Linked DNA regions of Tribolium castaneum. The protein of the gene in region 1 interacts with the protein of each later gene in a pairwise test. Links are inferred from orthologs where the notes say so. Each region holds a gene or a part of one and is shown on either strand. Other genes may lie near its edges.

Region 1 (3,833 bases):
CCCGTTTTTCGTATCTTGAACTTCAACAGCGACAATTGTTTTCGGCACTGACGCGTCCTCGTCTTGATCATAGTCGATGGTGGGACGCAAATCGGCCGGAAGGGGCGAGTAGAGGGTGTCGGTCAAAAGTGTGAATTGGAATTGTACCTAGGAGAATATATTGTGCAGTTCCGGTGCCAAATTGGCACTTTTTTAACTAGTTTTTAAGGAGTCAGAAGCTTATATTACAATCTTTTAAAGAATGTTTATTTTTTTGGCAAGTATTTTAAAAAAGTACAGTGGAACTCGGTTATAACGAACACAAATTAATTCTAAATCTTGGAATAGATCCATTAAGTATTAATCTAATTTACTAATAAAGACAGGATGATATTTTTTCTTGCCAATAAGGTTTTACAATTCTAAAATATATCGCATTACAAAAGACCGAAAAATTCAATCTTTGTAAAAATAAAATTAAGGATTGTTTTTCTCATACTAGGTCGGAAGTTTTTTAATTTAAAAAAAAAAATACTTCATCTGAGCTTATTATTATGGTGAGTACCTCTACCAAAAAAAAAAAATAAACAACTATTATCTGTTTCAAAACTTTCTTTTAATTAGTGCTTTTTTGACCATTTTGTCTGTAGTTTAATTAAAAGAGTGAATTTCAACAGGTACACCGAAATATGGAATCCGAATAAAACCCTTGGATAATCCAGAAACAATAAAAAACATTGATTACCATTTAAAAGTCTTGAATTTTTTTCGTATTATATCATTATAAATACTCAATGTGAGATTTAGAATCAGTTTTTTATTCGTTATATCATTTTAATTTTTTGTATTTTAAAATTTATTTCTTCAGTCAGTTATCTTCTAGTTGACTGTATTTTTTGTCTTCTTCTAATTTCTATCCCTCTGTTCTTTTTTCTAACTAGTTCTCAATGTTTCTATGTTTTTATGTATTCTCTTCTATTATGATTCGGTAAGTTTTAAGTGTTATACAAACGCAAATATGCCAAAAGTTCGACAAAAACAAAATTACCAATTCAACAGTTTTTAAAGACCGTAGTTAGCGTTCGCACACTGTGTTATCCGTTTGTACAAACATGTGCGGACGAATAATAAATTAACAGTCGCTATTAATTTGTCCGAACATTATTGTAGATAAATAACCGACAAAATATCTGTGAAATACATTATAATCATTATTAATATTATTTAAGTATACTTTCAAGTGATTATTTCTTGCCGATTATAAAAACTATAAAAATCTTTCAACTTCATTTGGTTTACTTAACATCTACTGGTAATTTTTGGGAAAAAATTAAATGCTGGGTAAAAATAATAACTGTTAGTAAAAAAAACATAAATGCAAAGTAAAAATTGTGAAAACAGTAAATACAACTAATAAAAAATATATAAAAAATTATAGATGTTTGAAAAACATTATTTTTGACTTTTTAGTGCATCTTTTAAAAAAAAGCTTAAAAAAACATTTTTTTATATATTTTTCATTTAGAAATTTTGCGTGTTAATTTCTTACAATAGATAGTATCATTTTAAAAGTATGTGGTGGTAAATAGCTATGTCTTGTTTATAGGGTTTTTCGTGGCTATAAAGTGTTTTTTGTTAGAAATAACAATTCGTTAAATTAAAAAAAATTGAAACCCCATTTAACCCCTTTAGGGGGTAATTAACAACATAGAAACAGATTACGTAAGTATGTGAAATTTCAATCCATTCAACTCAACTTGTAACCAGTGAGAATGTACGAGTAAGATAGCAGCAACTGTTAGATTGTCTTGAGCCTGACATTTAAAAAAATTGACATTTTGAAAAAAAATGTGATTTTATATTAACCGGTCAGATCGTAGAAAAAAATAGCGTATGTAACTCGCCTTTAAAAGCTAATAAGACACTTATCTTCGTTGCGACACTCGCTAAGGCTCGTTTCATAAAGTTGCTATTAACAAATGTTAAATTACTCAGTAATCAGTTCATTATAAACTAAAATTTGATTGTAATTAATAAATGATCTGTAAATTGACCCTAAATCTATTTGCCCAATTTTCTTTTTAAATTTTAGTTTTGTGGAAATATGGATCTATGAGAATTTCGATATTGTAATTTTTTTGTACGCCATAAAGTTTTACAACAGATAATGGTGTTAAGATAAGCACCTTCAGGATAAGATGTTTTGACAAGGTTAATGGTGTACAAAGAAAACGTTGCTACAAATTTGTTAATTTGCTATTAATATTTCATACGCTCTGGTTTAATATGTAAGCGTTCTAAACTTTCAAATTATAGTTAAATAAATAATTATTAAAATGTAACAGTTATGTAAATAATGTTAAGACAAATAAAGTTTTTCGAATTCGAAAAAATGTGTAGTTGGTTAAATTTGTTGATCGACATTTATATAACTGAAAAACAAAGCAAAGTTTCATTTTCAAAATATACTCACATTATTTATAGAAATTTCTCAGCATCACTATCAGAAACATCCCAAAATAAAAAATGAGGAAAACAGTATTGCCTTGCTATTTTTTAACGGCAGTACAGTGCATATAGGCAAAATTTTGAAAAGCTGTAAACATAAAAAATATGCACAAATGCGACTTAACATTGAATTTACTCATTTGTTGCTATACTATAGGAATTAAAACGGGATTGACTTTCAATTTTGCTCGTTATATCCGAAGCTCTACTATATTTTAAAAAATCGACAGACGAACAAAACACTAGATATCGGTGCCTTCATATTTATCGAAATAAATATTATTGATGTTTTTATCATCTCTTGTTTACACACAGAAATAAACAATGAAATAAATACATTAATGTGTAAGTCTGCGCTTACATTTTTTAAACATTTTTATCTATTTTTTAAGCTTATGGCGAAAGGTTGGAAGTGGCTAATGTCATCAATACTGATTATGCGTTTAAGGTTACAAGAATATAATAAATTTTCGCTTACTTTCTTCTTGAGTTCGACCGAAATGGCGTTCGCCTCCTTGAGGAAAATGGCATTGCCCCAGAGATCGTCCCTCAAGGAGGTAAACTGGTGATGTTTCCACTTCCTCCAGGCATTGGCGGCCAGCTCGTACTCCTTCTCGGTCCAATTGCACTCTGCGTCAAACAGAGGGTTCACTGCAAAAGCGCCCCCGTCTCAATTTCAAAGCAAGCAATAAACGTGCGCTTGATCGAAATTAAGCCACAGCAACAACTCCTGTGAAAAACTCACCGAAAATATCATCTTCATTATTGAAATCCTCGGGCGTATAGGAACTGTACATCGACATTGTCATGCTCTGTTCTTCCACTTGCTTTTGAAGCGCGTCAATTCGAGCCTCGTAATTTTTTCGCTGCTCTTCAAACAGTTGATCTGCGGTTTCTTTTTCCTTACGGTATTGTTCTTCGAGGGTTAGGAGACGTTTTTCCATCTCGGCCTTTAAGTCAACGCCTTGTTTTTCAAGAAGTTCAATTTGTGCATAGTTCCAGTCAACGGTTTCTAAAGGTGTCGAATTTTTTTCACGCATCTCACGCGCTTCGTCTGGATGCGTGAAGCGGAACACGTGGTTTTTGCCCAAAATGACTCGGGAGCCGGTTTTGAGGACGACTGGCTCGGTGATCTGCGACAAAATTAATTTAATAAGAATAATAACAATTTATTTATTATTTTTTTCTTACCTCCCGTCCATTGACATAAATTAAAGCCCCAGCTGATGGAGTCAGTGTCACTTTCCCGTCCTTATTCTCAAAAATGCAATGCTCTGATTTAATGTGCGACCCCACGAGCTGTATATCTTGCGGAATGTTTGCCTCGGCTGACCCGACCCTCGTAA
Region 2 (4,263 bases), on another chromosome or scaffold:
CGGGAAATGTCATAGCATGAAAATGGTTTTTATATTTCTTCATAGTTTGAACATAGTTAAGTTAGAACTGACAATTAATCAAACCTTGACAAATTTAACGTAGTTATAAAATTATCTGGACTGGTAGTTTTCATCAGTGTCCTAAGATAACATTAATAAACCCTACCAGCCTAATTCAGTGCATTTCACTGTGCCATTAAAGCAAAAATTGTTTGAATGTGGCAGCTGCCAAATTGACAAACAAAATCTGTTCCAATCTAATGAAAATTAAATTTTCCGGTCTTAATGCATCCAACTGACACTATACACTACACGAGATACCTAATGTCATTAATTTTCAGAGGATTCTTGACCTGACTTATTTAGTCACGACACTAACCTGGGCAGTTTTAGCTGAGACACCCTGTATACTATTGTATTATCATTACAGTATTATTTACTGTTATCTAATCTGGTATTTTGTCTTTTGCGGATTTACCACAAAGACGTCATAGCATTCATGGCATTTTACTCAACACCTGCATTAGATTATTAATGACGGTATTTTTCTGTTGTCAAATCACTTAACAATGAGGTATGCGACCTTGTCTGTTGGATTTTCTAAAATTGCAAGGAAACAGTAAATTTCACCGACTCATGGAAATTCCTACTCAACAATAAATTACAGAGATTAAACAACACACAACAGTTGTAAATGAGTGTAAATGTTGTGTAATTTGAAGAAACATGAAAAATGCAGCAGTAACTGTAAACAAAAGGAATTACCTGCTAAATTGCTGGAAGTATGCTTTTTTCCGGATTTTTTATGCTTGGACATGGTGCAGTTTTGGATGTAATTGTTGTCAAATCGTGAATAAAGTACATGTTAAAACGGGAATTGAAAATATACTCAAATAATGACCAACGAGACCATCGCTATCACCAGCCATGATGGACTGAACGGAGTTGTCAAAAAACTGTCACTGTCAGGTGCCCCAACAATCAAATTATGATTTAATACTTTTGCAATAACACTATTGCTCTCAATTGTATTTTTGTGATTTGTATTTAATTCTAGTTTTTTTTTCGAAATAGTTTTTTAGTAAATTGTGCGTGGCGCCATCTGACGGTAGCGTTACAGTGTCCTGTTGTATCGACTCGAATGGGCTTATTTGACATTGGTTTTAAAATGGCTGTCAGATCCGAAGTTTGTGTATGTAGTTAGGACGTAAGGGATGGAATTTGTAGGTGTGTCATAGTGAAAACGTTCCGATAATGTTAACACATGTAGTAATAACCAATATGACAATGTGCACGTGTTCGGTTTGCGTCGGTTTGCGCGTTCCGTTTAGTTAATGTGGACGTTTGGTGAGGGGTTAGAACCGATCCATGTAATTGGGTATTTAGTAAAATAATCGGCGGGCAGTGCGTTAAAGTAAACAGCCAGCATGTGGAACATGATGTGTGATGTAATGCCGACCATCTCGGAGGACAGCATCAGCCAGAGGAGCTCCCAGTTCTCTGGCGAGGATGCGAACTTCGAGCAACTGATGGTCTCGATGCTGGACGAAAGGGACAAGCTGATGGACAGTCTGAGGGAGACTCAGGAGCGTCTCGGCGAAACGGAAATGAAGCTGGCGGACGTGGAGAAGGAACGCGACTCGCTCCATAGGCAGATCGCCGCCAATCTCCCACAGGTAAGAGCACCCACCACCGATTTGGAGCTTTATCGATTCCTCCCGGCAAAGCGCCTTCCTCAAACGCCATTTTCATAAAGAAATGAGACGGTTCCTTGCCGGTTTTTATTCATATCGTAGGGCGATTGTGGAAACTGGACCACCCTACCATGCATCTATGAATTAACGATTGCGATGGGATCTATAACTCCGCCCTTAATGGTCTTTTCGACGGCCACGCTTAACGCAGTCGTAGAGTCGCAGTAACCTTGGTTACCATCACATTGCCCTTTAAGTGCACTTGGTCAGATTAGAAATTATTATTATTTTTGATGATTAAACACCAATCAGTGAATGGTTGTGCTTGCCGGAAGAGGAAGTTGGCAAATGGACAAATCTACATATGTGTGCATACCTTTTAACATCACATGAAAGTCATTCGGTACAACACGTTGGCCAATACTAACTTAAACTCGATTCATTTCATCTTACATGTTAAAAAACGACTTAATTTTATTATTTCTGAATGAAAGAAGTTACTGTGACTTGTTGTTCGATGGATGGTAAATTGATTTTTTTCACAGTGAAGTGATAATCAGCTTTAGAAGCGCCTGTTGAGTCATTTTTCGATTGATTTGTATTAATTAACATGAAATTAAAAGACAACTGCTAAAATAAAACAAAAATGGGATTGTTAAAATTGTTAAATGCTCATTTGTTTTTTTTTTGTTAAATTTTTATTGACATTTTAAAATTTGTGAAAAAGGACAATTTTTCTTTGAATCTACAGCCTGTTCCGTCCACTTTATAAGTACCCGTAGTTTTGATGATGAAAATTTGTTTTTGTTGAGTTTTATTCCAAGCGAGTTTTTATTAACTTTTTCTATGCCTAAATTTAGCCGTTTTTGGGTTACGAATATACAGGGTGAGTTATTGATATGGGCAATCTCGATTACACTTACATCTACACTTACACCTAAACCATTAATGATCTCGAAATAAATTAAAGGGCACTGCAAATGTGAGGCCAAAGTGCAGTTTCTAAAATTATTTTGTCCTATACAGAGTTAAACAAAGCGTGCGACAAAGACAAGTATTATGAAAATTATTTTTCTATTTTTAGATATACAGGGTGAGTCATTGATGCGGGCGTGCTCGATTGTACCTACACTGTCAAAGATATGGGAAGTCAAAGTGCACGTTCTAAAATTGTTTTGCTCTATACAGGGTGTTTTATTTTTACAGTGCAACCTTTAACATAGTTTTTTAAATGGCATTCCCTGTACAGGGTTATTCATATTTATGAGACAATAAATGAAACTCAAAAAGGATCTTCTAAATGATGCCAATTGAGATTATAACTCGTGTCCTATCGAAACTGATAAGAATTTTACAGCCCTGGGAAGTAGGGGTATGGAAAGACGTTTTTGTACCATAACTTTAGAACCATTTGACCAAATATTACGAAACTTGGTAGACTTACTAAAGACAAAATGCCTTTTAATCTGGTAGTTACGAAAAACGGATACATCCACCCAGTTTCCGGTTGCAGCATTTCCACATTTTTTGTGTTTTTTATGTTTTTGCCCTCTTAACACTACTTTTTTATTGCTTAAATCGATAGAGTAATCAATTTCGAATAAAAAAGTTATAACCTTCTACACCGTTAAAATGGACCGTTTAATAGTTATTTTAATTTCAATAGAGGCTTGCACCTGACTAAAATCAAAAAAGTATGAATTTTGAGCTGATAATATCTGTAGCAACGAAAGTGCATCTGCACTCAAAGCGTTGTCAAGTACTGTCACACACTTGTCAACTTTAACTTTGGATAATTTGGGGCTCTAAATTAAAAATATTTAATAAAAGGAGTTTATTTCAGTCTCTTAACATAACCTACATTAAATTTGAACTAATTTGGTAGCATTTTTGATTGATTAATTCATCGAAAATTCACAAAAAAGTCATTAGTCGTTACCTAATTATTTGTTCTATTCGGTACGTTTATTACACCAAATTCCGAATAAAGACATTAAAACTCTTAAAAGCGTACCCCTACTAAGTGGGTGCAACTACTCGCTTGTCTTCCAGACACTAAATGAACAACACTCAGTTCACTACTAATTTGCATTATTTTGTAATAAAAGCAGCGGTATTTTTGACTGAATGCTTTGCGTTTTGTATTGTTAAGTAGTGTTAAGAGGGCAAAAACATAAAAAAATACAAAAAATGTGATCCGGAATTGGTGCAACCGGAAACTGGGTGGATGTATCCGGTTTTCATAATTACTAGAATAAAAGGCATGTTCTCTTTAGTAAGTCTACCAAGTTTTGTAATATTTGGTCAAATGATTCCAAAGTTATGGTGCAAAAACGTCTTTCCATACCCTTACTTCCCAGGGCTGTAAAATTCTTATCAGCTTCGATAGGACACGACTTATAATTTCAATTAGCATCATTTTATAGGTCCTTTTTGAGGTTCATTTTTTGTCTCACAAATATGAATAACCCTGTATTTAAAAAAAACGTGCAGGGGAAAGACATCAGTTTGTGAAACCAGACCTAACTGCAATAAATGAGGAATACAGGGGAAAAACGATCTCAGTCAA

Evidence for each region.
Region 2: the proteins of unc-104 (region 1) and Liprin-alpha interact in binary tests that used the Caenorhabditis elegans proteins (3 or more experiments, as listed by UniProt). The link is inferred for Tribolium castaneum from reciprocal best matches to the Caenorhabditis elegans genes unc-104 and syd-2.

What each region holds. Positions count from the first base shown.
Region 1 is NC_087399.1:8,193,320-8,197,152, forward strand, and holds part of unc-104 (kinesin-like protein unc-104), read right to left. Parts: coding exon 3,679-3,833; intron 3,621-3,678; coding exon 3,233-3,620; intron 3,157-3,232; coding exon 2,966-3,156; intron 148-2,965; coding exon 1-147. UniProt on the Caenorhabditis elegans protein: Motor protein involved in microtubule-associated anterograde transport. Regulates the transport of synaptic vesicle precursors in the axon of DA motor neurons. Regulates the polarized sorting of axonal proteins.
Region 2 is NC_087397.1:21,769,780-21,774,042, forward strand, and holds the start of Liprin-alpha (liprin-alpha-1), read left to right. Parts: upstream 1-1,140; 5' UTR 1,141-1,427; coding exon 1,428-1,676; intron 1,677-4,263. Other genes in the region: fsd (transmembrane protein 183), read right to left, coding at 766-817. UniProt on the Caenorhabditis elegans protein: May play a role in regulating the structure of the neuronal region, called the active zone, from which synaptic vesicles send neurotransmitter signals across the synapse. This may be in association with the liprin-beta protein hlb-1.